Linked DNA regions of Lytechinus pictus. The protein of the gene in region 2 interacts with the protein of the main gene of each other region in a pairwise test. Links are inferred from orthologs where the notes say so. Each region holds a gene or a part of one and is shown on either strand. Other genes may lie near its edges.

Region 1 (3,757 bases), on a different chromosome or scaffold from region 2:
TGACTGAGGCAAATTAAATGAGGAACAACGCAATAGTTTTAGTGTTTCATTTTCATTCACGAATAAAAAAAAATCACGAGACCTGGCAGTTTGTTAAAGAAAAAAAAACAGCAGTCTTTAAAGCGACTACTTCAGTCCATTGATTACCTGATGCAATTGAGGGAACTTGTCATATAAATTGTACATTTGCGTGCAAATCTGTGAATCTTTTATCATACATTTTTTAAATATTTGTGTTGTTTTGTAATAGTATTTATCAAAATCATTCAGTTCAGAATCATACAAGTAATAGTACATCAACAAAACATTGTTCACAAAGTAATTATTCATAATACACAAAATTGTACCAAAAAATACAGAATATAACATTCAAATCATCTAGAACAAAGTAAATACTTATAGTCTGTAGACAAAAAAAATACAAATATAACAAAAAAATGATAAAGGCGCAATTGAACTGAATGAGAATTAGAAGTAAAACACCCTCCCATATTGTTTCTTTATTTTCGAGGGAGGGATGTCGAAACCGGGGATCGAAAGAGGGAAAAGGGAAAATGCATATGATTTTTATAATCATATACGATTAAATTCTTAATTGGTCTAAAACCAATCTAGTTGGTCAGTACAGTCTCGACCCATTACCTAGGCCTAATAGCATTTTGTCTACCAAACAATGTATGAAATGGTGTCCCTGGACTGGAGCTCAGAATATTTTTGCTCCATCTTCATTACCACCACTACCATTACCTCTCGTTTATATTTTTTAAATCATGAATTATAAAGTTATGAAAATAATATTGTATTCTGCATATCAATCATATTCTCTGCTTATGATGATATTCCCACTAGCTTTGCTCAAAAACAGAACATGAAGATTGTTCGCAAAATCCAGATATCCTTTTAACGTTAGAAATAAAAGTACACACAAAACAGGCGTCAATTTGAATAAAGAAAAGATAAACTTGACGTATTATCACTCAGTTTTATACCACTATCATGACTATAGCAAAAGTTAATTACGGCAGCCCACCAAAAAAAAATTATAACGACGTAATTGAACTGAATGAGTATTAGAAGTAAAACACCCTCCCATCCCAACTGCTCCCCCCCCCCCCCTATCCCATCTAAGCCCAGGAAGCGCGGCCTAGCTGCTTCCCTCCCCTATAAACCCCGGCTACCCTCCATCTGCCTTCTGTACGTGTACTGTAATATAATACCAGATCGCGGCGCGGCTATCGCATCAGGAAACTGTGCATGTGTGTATTGTGTATGTTTGTGCATGTGGCACGTGTGTGCATGTGCTGCTCGATTTACTTATACGCGCTCAACCTATCATCTAAAAATAGAAAATATGAATACATAATTAGGTACAAGTCTAACGTAACCGAGTCTACATATTCTGCACGAACTTCGCCCGATATCGAGGTAGGTAGCTGTGACGTAATTTCGTCCCACCCGCGGCGGGATGAATCTCGTATAAGGCTACGGCTGATATTGCAGAGCTCTTGGATCTGTCGTCCCGGGCGCGGCGGGATGAATAGCGGTGCGCCGCGTCCGGGGCGCGCTAGGAGAAAAAGGAGCTCGCTGAATAACCGAATCGTCCCGGACGGTGGGATTTCGTCCGAGGCGCGGCGACCCGCAACCGATAATAAGTTTGCTGCGCCTAAATGAAAATGACTATGCTACATTCAGTGTATATTAGGTCCTAATTTTAAACAAAGGTGAAATTTGTTTGAACAATATTGGTTATTTGAATCATGATTTGAATCATGATTCAAAACACAAACATGAATCACAATATCACAGAATCAGCGTTTAGACGACCTTCATTCCAATGCTGTTTCTCCTCAGATTCGGGCCAATCCAGTGCGCATCACTAGTGCGCAGTTTGACAGAGGAAGTTTTTCGCACGTGTTTCGGCTCTCGAAAATTATTTTGCTTCCATCAGAATTCAGTCTATACCTCATTTTGTTTACTTCTATCATAAAGGGTCCATATGCTTTATCCAAAATGGTGTTCGGAAGTGAATTTCAGCGTAGATCCAATTTGATATTGATACTGTATACTCAACAACAACTGAGATCATTGTCTGTCCAGTTAATTCATTTACTAGAACTTGAAGTTGAAGACATGACCAAAAAATGAAAAGTAGTGGACGATGCGATGACCAACACAGAACTTGAACATGACAAGAAATGAATTCATAGTACATAGTCATGTACATACAATGAGCATATAGAGCGCCATGAGCTTGGCAAGAGTCAAACCGAAAGGAGCCCGACACAACAGTGAGGTCATATAATCATGATTGTAATCACGATATCGTTTATTCGAACATTTTCGTACGTGATTCTGCAGAAACGTCTTTCCAAACGCCCCTTTTTTCGTGTTTCATGTTTGTGATTTTAATCATGATTATATTCAATTTTGACTAAGGCTGCGTTTATGCGACCTCAAGCCAGAATCATGATTTGAATCATGATTTGAATCATGATTCAAAACACAAACATGAATCACGATGTCACAGAATCAGCGTTTAGACGACCTTCATTACAATGCTGTTTCTCCTCAGATTCGGGCCAATCCAGTGCGCATCACTAGTGCGCAGTTTGACAGAGGAAGTTTTTCGCACGTGTTTCGGCTCTCGAAAAATCTTTTGCTTCCAGAATTCAGTCTATACCTAATTTTGTTTACTTCTATAGGGTCCATATGCTTCTATTCATCTTGTTAGTTTATCCAAAATGGTGTTCGGAAGTGAATTTCAGCGTAGATCCAATTTAATATTAACACTCTATACTCAACAACAACTGAGATCATTGTCTGTCCAGTTAATTCATTCACTAGAACTTGAAGTTGAAGACATGACCAAAAAATGAAAAGTAGTGGACGATGCGATGACCAACACAGAACTTGAACATGACAAGAAATGCATGCAGAGTAACCATGTACATACAATGAGCATATAGAGAGCCTTGAGCTTGGCAAGAGTCAAACCGAAAGTAGCCCGACACAGTGAGGTCATATAATCATGATTCAAATCACGATATCGTTTATTCGAACATTTTCATACGTGATTCTGTAGAAACGTCTTTCCAAACGCCCCTTTTTTCGTAGTTCATGTTTGTGATTCTAATCATGATTATATTCAATTTCGACTAAACGCAATCGTGATTCTGCAGAATCGTGATTTGAATCATGATTCTAGGGTGAAAAAGTGGCGGATAAACGCACCCTAAACGCAATCGTGATTCTGCAGAATCATGATTTGAATCATGATTCAAATCATGATTCAAATCATGATTCTAGGGTAAAAAAGTGGCGGATAAACGCACCCCTAGATTCATGCAAATATACATGTGTATAAAGTTTGGAATTTGTGTGTTGCATATTCTGTCATAGTTGGTTAATACGGGTTTGTGATCATTTAAATTATTTTATAACAATGACCAGGTAACATGAGTGGAATACATGTATCAAAAAACAAAGTCTTGCATGCTTTTCACGGAATGTAGACAATATGAGAATTTTTTTTAAATTCAGTTTATGCAACTTTTTGTACCACAACTTATAAAGAGGATACCCAATTCTTGAACATTATTGTACTTAAAAGAATATATTTTTCAAGAGTTCAAAATCCATGTAGTCATGTTGCCAATTTAAAATAACCCAAAGTAAAGATTTCAGCTTATGTTTAAATCCTCCATTGTGTTTTGGTTTTAACTGTGGTTGACGACATGACGTCATTGTGGCTTCCAAG
Region 2 (3,757 bases):
CCCTTGAAGGTTGTGTAATATTTTCATATACAACACACAAAATCTCTAAGGAGAATTTCTACTTTTTATTCTCCTAACCCTCGTCTCCTCCTTCCTCTTCTTGTTCTTGTTCGTCTTCTTCTTCTCCTTCTTTTCTGCAGACCTCACTCCGATCAAGTGGCGCCTGAGGTAATTTTCCGTTTGTCCCCTGCCCCTTTCTTTTCTGCCCTCTTTTGTTTATTCCTCTGATCCTTTCTTATCTTTGCTCTCTACCTTGGCAAGATGTGGCATATTGTGTAAAATTTATGAAAGGCTGTGAGCGACGCGAGCGCAAGCAAAGAATTTGACATTTTTCTTAAAAAAAAAATCAAATTTGATAGATTTTGACATAACTTTCAGAAAATAATATATTTCACCCATCTCTCTTTTTCTTACCTTTTTCTTTTCTTAGTCGTAATTGTTTTTTTTTGTTTAGGGAGGGGGGGGGGGAGAGCCATCTGTACACCCCGGTGTACACCAGTGCTTTTTAATTTTCTCCATTATTTCCCCCTCTCCTTCTTTAGTTACTATTTTTTTCGATTTTTTTTTCTTTCCATTCTTCCTTTTATTAGATTAATTAGATATATTAATGTAAACAAACATTTTTTAAAACAAAATGTATGCGAACATTATATGCATGTAGTTATAACTTCGTATAAATACAATGTAGTAACATATTTCATTTCGTCCTCGCTTCTTCTCCTTCGCCTCCCTCTTCCCAAAATGTCAAAATACTAGTACATGCGAAATAGTGTTCCTGGATTAAAATGCGAAATCAGCTATTGCGCCCTCTTTCGTTAATCAATCTTGGTTTAGTCAAATCACGTGACCTTCGCTCATTTCACGACTTCACGTTCATTTTTTATTTTTCATTTTTGTACGACTATTGCATGTCTGCGCGGTCTAGGCCCTACTCGTATATTGCACGTCTATTTACTGTGCTTTTGCGCTTGCATGCTGCTGTGCGTATTTCGCGATCGTAAACTGAATTTGCGCTTGAGGCCAGGATCTCCGTTGCTTTTGTGAATGAATGAGATCTCATCTTTTTGCCGAGTCGTCGAGATACCCGGATTTCTTTTCATCTCGCCGAATAACAGTTTACATGCCCACGACTTTGTCGTGAATTGCAACCTTTTAACGTTAGGGTGAGTAAATCGTAGTCTATCAACACACATTTGAATGACATTCTGACAAAATGCACTGCACTGCCACTGGCACACACCACAGTGCAGTGCATGCAGAGCAGACTGCACAGCATGCAGCAGTGCCAGCCATAGTCATAGACCAAAACTAAAACAAGCTTCGGTCTCCAGGTCTCTGTTAATTTTGTTATGTTGGTTGTTCAGCTGAACTCCGTTGGCTTCACTCACCAAATACAGAGACCGAAGTTTTAGCGCGATCTGTACAGGGGACTCAATGGCAATATGTTTATGTACTTAAGTCAAGATCGGATAAAACGGGGAAGTGAATTTGCGCGACAGCCGAGGTAAGTCACTGACACTGTTTTTGTTCCTTTTAACTTGATTTTTCTCCGTTTTTTGGCAATTAATGCCAAGAGGGAATATTAATTTGCATTTTGGTCGCGTTAATTTTCAAAATTTTTATTCATTAAAGACAAAAATTGAAGAGCCCCGACGGGGGGATTTTGCATTGCAAGTCCCCTAATCAATGGTGGTGGCTGCACGCTAGCGAGCCGTCTGTGTATGAGGAGAAATTAAAAAAATAAAAAAGTTAAAAAAACTCCTCGAAACCGACGGCTGCCAGCTGTCTATGCCAGCCAGTGCAGTGGCACTGCATCTTTTTTCCTTTTCATTCAAGTTTCATTATCCACTCACACGTATTTAGCCAGGCGGCTTCTAACAAGTTAGAGAGTAAAAATCATTTACTAACGTAAGGTCACTCTCATACGAAGCCAGGGCTTCCGTCATATACTTTTGCGTGTACCACCAGAAAACCTGAAACTTTCGCCCCCGAGATTTCTACTTTCTTTCTAAAAGATCTAGCCCTAAATCATGTATGGTTGGAACTACCCCTTATCGACCACCTAATCTTCTCAGCATCGTATCTGCAAAAATATTCATCAATTTTACCCAGTTTTAGTCCCATTTGTGCAGAAAATTGAGAAGATCAGATTCCCATGTTTCGCTCGGCGACTCCGATTCAATCCGCGTATATATCGACGAACAATGAATACGACGATTTTACATTTGCTCATTTGCACCCGTCTTTTGAAACCGACCACCCGCGATACACTAAGTTTACGGCCGATTCTTGTAAATATTTTTACTCTTCCAAATCAGTTCTATGATGTCAACATGCTAAATGATCGTCTCACTACTTCCGCTGCGAGCTCCGCGCCGGCACATGATTCGACGATTGACGACGGATATTTGTTCTAAAGCCGTTTCCTATCGGATTTCTTGGTTTTTCAGCGGGAATTGGGTCTGGTCAATACAATTTTGATTAATTCTACTAAATTTTTACTTTTTGTTGCTTCTTTTTTTCTCGTAAAATCGATTCTTACCGTTTCTATGGACACTGCGCCTACTCTCCCGCGCGTATCGTTTGTAATACGCAATAATTTTATCGCGCGCAAGGTGGTCGGTTTCAAAAGAGGTGGTCGATATGTGGTAGTCTCACCATACATGGGATACAACTTCATTTCTACGCTATGGATTTTATTTTTAGACAAGAATTCATCAAAAAAAAATGAGAAAAATATCATGAATAGACGGAAGAGACTTGCCCGATGTTTACGCCGCCATCTTGTTTTCTATTTATTGTTCTTCACCCATGATACGGACGCTTGCGTCGCGTAACGTTGGGGAAGAACAATAGAAAACAAGATCATGAAGATGGCGGCGTAAACATCGGGCAAGTCTCTTCCGTCTATTCATGATATTTTTCTCATTTTTTTTGGATGAATTCTTGTCTAAAAATAAAATCCATAGCGTAGAAATGTCGGAAATGAAGTTGTATCCCATGTACATGATTTAGGGCTAGATCTTTTAGAAAGAAAGTAGAAATCTCGGGGGCGAAAGTTTCAGGGTTTTTGGTGGTACACGCAAAAGTATATGACGGAAGCCCTGGCTTCGTATGAGAGTGACCTAACGTTAGTAAATGATTTTTACTCTCTAGAAGCCGCCTGGCTACACGTATTGCGGGGTTTTTTTTTTTACTATACTAATACTAACCTTGCACAACCAACGCAATGGTTTTTTGAGTTGTCCTTTAGACTTTTTAGTGCTTTAGCCTTTACCTTTACCCGAGTCGAGATTCTGGAAGAATGCTGATGATCCCAGGCCCAGCACAGCAGTCGTGCTTCCACTGAAGTTCCAATTCAAGTCCTTCATCCTTCTTGTTAGTTAGGTATCTTCATAGGCTAGCAGTCTAGCTTGGAAATCTACACCGTCCTCGACATTAGTATGGTTTATTCATCATAGGGTGAGCAGTACCGCTGGTCAGCCCACACCTTGTCTAGCCTTATTTTAAAACTGTTCACCGTCTGAGCTGTGAGTGTGAGTGTGACAACCTCTTGGGGCAGCGAATTCCAGTCATTTATGACACGCTGGCTGAACAGTAGAGGCGCACGGCCAATATTGGAGACTGTCTCCAATGTGGGAGATTATCTTCCATATCAGAGACTTTTGTAAAGAATTTGGGTATCCAATTTCAGAGACAGTCTCCAGTTTTGGAGTCCAATTTCCTTTGTTTACATTTGCTGCCAAAGGATTACCTT
Region 3 (3,757 bases), on a different chromosome or scaffold from region 2:
CTAGTACAGCGTGCGGTGTACCGATGCATGCAAGTAGCATAGCATGCGCGTGTGTACACAGCGTAGTACAGTGCACGATTCGAGATGGGGGAGCATTTCATGAAGAGTTTTTCAGTGGTTTTCAACAACAGGTTTGCATTCCGCCAATCAAATGCGAGGGTTCGCTATAGCTTGTAACATCTCTCTGTAAACAAACAAAAATAATCACCGCCAACACTCTTTATGAAACACTCCCTAGCCCGTCTCTTGACCACGTGGTGTTGTTGATGAACGAACCAACAAGAACAAGCGGGTTTCAACGAAGTGTCAACCTTGGGCCGTTGACAGACAAACCGCAGGGATTAAGACTTTTTTTTTTCTTTACGCAGGTTTTTTTTTCGGACAAAATAATAATCAACTCGTTTCAACGAATGGGTTTACATCCGAACCTTCCTTTTTTCTTTGGGGGGGGGGGGCGGCAGGTGTGACTTCCTTAAAATAATCTTATACCTGGGACTACATGTATATATAATTATGGCAAGTTTATAATTTACTTTTAGGCTTACTAATCAATAAAACTATGAATTATCCCCCCCCCCCCCCCCGAGACTCATGCGCATAAAGAGAAATGTGAATGGCTGTGATTCCCGAATCTCGACCTCCAATTTTTTTTTTCTTTTTTTAATAAGTCGAGATAGGAACTGTCAACTGTGAGTCCCGCTTTAGAAGGGACGGAGCACTAATATAGCAGGCAGTAAAGTAGAAATATAAAGAACGGGGAAAGGTGTTACGCCGTCCTTCTATTGTTTACAAGCAATTTATTTTGAGAATGATCTGTGAATTAAAGGAAGAAATTTCTCTGTGAATATTGTGTGAGTTGTGTTGGGTGCTGTTTCACTGCTGTATGTGCATGAAGGGGTCGTGAATAAACTGACAATTTAGATAAACTATTGGAATGATTATTTGTCTGTTTTACCGCTGAAGAGCTTTTCCTTAATTGTGCTTAACATCTCAGTCGTTACAATGTTTTTGGAGTGTAAAAAGCAGTCTCTAATAGCGCTATTTTTCTGAGAATAATTATAGTCGCTCTTCATCGAGAACGAATGTCAATAAATCAAGACATAAAGAATAGAAAGACCTGTTGATGATTTTGACCAAGGCATCCCACTCCCCGCTGGATAAAATCAGGGAGGGTTTATCATTCATCAGGGCAGCCTTTTGGTCAAATAAACTAGCTAGTTGACGGAGATATACGTATCTTTTCTGAATACCCAAATAACCCAATTACCCACATCATCAAAGAAACAGCAAAATACATTGTATTCCTGATTCCTTTACCAAATAAATCAAAATGATGGAAGCATAAGGTGCCAATCCCTCGCCTTAATTTTAAGTTAGTGTGTGGTTTTTTATTTTCCAGTACTAGTAAATAAATCTGACAACAGTGTAATTAAAAAAGAAAGACCATGCCTGTAATTTTCCTGTTAGATCCAGTATATATTTAGCTCATCCGAATAATTTTCTCACTCTTACCCATCGCTCTCGATATCACATACTTACGCTTAATTTCATAATGGAGAACCTCAACTTAATACCGAAAAAGGGTGCAACGTCTCCCGTTTGGGTACATTTTGGGTTCAAGTGTGGAGAAGATGGGAAAGTTATCAACCCAGACAAGGCCACTTGTAGAATTTGTGGACGTGATTGTGCTGCGAAAGGGGGGAACACATCAAACTTGATGTCTCATCTTAAAAGCAAACACCCAAAGCAGGCAAGTGAATTACGGCAACCTAAACGGACACCATCCACCGCCTCGACGTCGCAACAACCAACACTAGCCGATGTTCAAGCTAGGGCAGCAAAATATAGTCACGATGATCGGAGGTGGAAAAATTTGACAGACTGTGGGGCTAAGTATCTAGCCAAAGGGATGCTCCCCATGTACACGGTGGACAAGCCAGCATTTAGAGAAATGCTACAAGCATTTGACTCCCGATATACACTTCCCGGGAAAAAGTATTTTACAGAGACTGCTCTCCCGGCTCTTTATAACTCTGTTCGAACAAAAATTCAGAAAGAGGTCGAGGAAGCAGAATATTTTTCTGCAACAACGGACCTGTGGTCGAGTACAACCATGGCTCCTTACATGAGTTGTACTATCCACTTCATCTCCAAGGAGTGGAAATTGATCTCCCGATGTTTGGCAACATCTTTTTTCCCAGAAAATCATACCGCGGACAATATAAAAGATGCACTGAAGGAGACTTTTGCTGAATGGAATTTGGATGAGTTCAAACTAGCGTGCATGACAACTGACAATGGCGCAAATATCGTGTCTTGCATGGAAAAGTTGGAGTGGCCATGGTTAAGTTGCTTTGGGCACAATCTTAACCTTGCAGTAAACAATTGTCTGAAAAATAACACAGCCCGAACAAGTCATGCAATTGGGATGTGCAAGAACATTGTTGCTAGTTTCTCCCACAGCTGGAACAAACGACGGGAGCTTGCCAGAGCTCAAGCTGAACTTGATCTTCCAAGGCATTCGCTCATAGTGGTAAGTTAACCTTCTTTATTCATACTGAGATAAAATATTTTATTTTATATCCATTGCAAATTTCACATCTTGTAATTTAAATTAAGGGTATTTCCGGCCGTATACCTATATCTCCCTTCGTCAAATTATCAGTCACTGCATTTGTAGAATTCCATATTAGGTAGATAGTCCACAAGACCACAACTGATTGGAATTTTGAAGAAAAAAAGTTTTCAGTTGCCCCCAAAAATGTATCCAATATTCTTGACCCAAAAATAATGAAAGTTTCAAAGTTCACTTTTATAGAAAATTATGAAAAACAAATATGAAGAGACGTTACTCGCTGTATGATAATGCTTCGAGATTTGTAAATATAAGCATAGAATGATAATTGGGGTTAATAGCAAATAGGAAAACAAAAATTAATATAGGCCTACTGTACATTTTTACTATTTATTTATTCACTTTTCTTTCGACAGGACTGTGTAACAAGATGGGGAGCAAAACATCAGATGATTCGTAGAATGATCGAGCAGGCTCCGGCGATTCGTCGAGTAATTGCACAAGACCCAAGGACAACACACAATCTTAACTATGGAGTCATGTCTGTCCTGGAAGCAGTTGACAAAGCCCTATCTCCCGTCGCTGCTTTTACTGACATATTGTCTGGAGAGGACTATGTCACCTCATCATCCCTTCTACCAATGCTTGATCACCTTGAACATGATGCTCTAAAACATGAAGAAGATGAACCAGACCTTACAATGGCCATGAAAAGGGACATGCTGACCAAGATACTCCGTCAGTATGAAAGGGAAAGCATGCAATGGATGCTAGCTAAGTCAGCGTTTATTGACCCGCGTTATAAAATGAATCACATTGAAGATGAAGAGCGAGATGAACTAAAACGCAAAGTTATCGATGAAATAGTAACTCTCGTTTCTAATGTATCCGCCAATGATGAAACTGCACCAGGGGACAATGACCAACCAATGCCGCCCCCGCCTAAAAAAATGTCCCTCGGAAATCTTCTTGCTAAGAAAAGCACTGCGGCAACCCCTCGATTAACTGTCCGACAGCAGGTAAACAATGAAATCGATCGATACCTCGCTGAAGATACCGAAGATGGAGACCAAGACCCCCTACTTTGGTGGAAACTCAATGAAAGGCTGTTTCCATCTTTGTCAAAATTTGCCAAAAAATATCTTTGCATTTGCGCAACAAGTTGCCCATCCGAGCGTGTAT

What was found.
Region 1: the proteins of SUMO-conjugating enzyme UBC9-B-like (region 2) and double-stranded RNA-specific editase 1-like interact in a two-hybrid assay, tested with the Homo sapiens proteins (2 studies listed by BioGRID and IntAct). The link is inferred for Lytechinus pictus from reciprocal best matches to the Homo sapiens genes UBE2I and ADARB1.
Region 3: the proteins of SUMO-conjugating enzyme UBC9-B-like (region 2) and E3 SUMO-protein ligase ZBED1-like interact in a two-hybrid assay, tested with the Homo sapiens proteins (4 studies listed by BioGRID and IntAct). The link is inferred for Lytechinus pictus from reciprocal best matches to the Homo sapiens genes UBE2I and ZBED1.

What each region holds. Positions count from the first base shown.
Region 1 is NC_087247.1:52,518,816-52,522,572, reverse strand, and holds the start of double-stranded RNA-specific editase 1-like, read left to right. Parts: upstream 1-1,183; 5' UTR 1,184-1,425; intron 1,426-3,757. UniProt on the Homo sapiens protein: Catalyzes the hydrolytic deamination of adenosine to inosine in double-stranded RNA (dsRNA) referred to as A-to-I RNA editing.
Region 2 is NC_087254.1:20,340,792-20,344,548, forward strand, and holds the start of SUMO-conjugating enzyme UBC9-B-like, read left to right. Parts: upstream 1-821; 5' UTR 822-1,163; intron 1,164-3,757. UniProt on the Homo sapiens protein: Accepts the ubiquitin-like proteins SUMO1, SUMO2, SUMO3, SUMO4 and SUMO1P1/SUMO5 from the UBLE1A-UBLE1B E1 complex and catalyzes their covalent attachment to other proteins with the help of an E3 ligase such as RANBP2, CBX4 and ZNF451.
Region 3 is NC_087249.1:51,618,503-51,622,259, reverse strand, and holds the start of E3 SUMO-protein ligase ZBED1-like, read left to right. Parts: upstream 1-1,552; coding exon 1,553-2,533; intron 2,534-2,991; coding exon 2,992-3,757.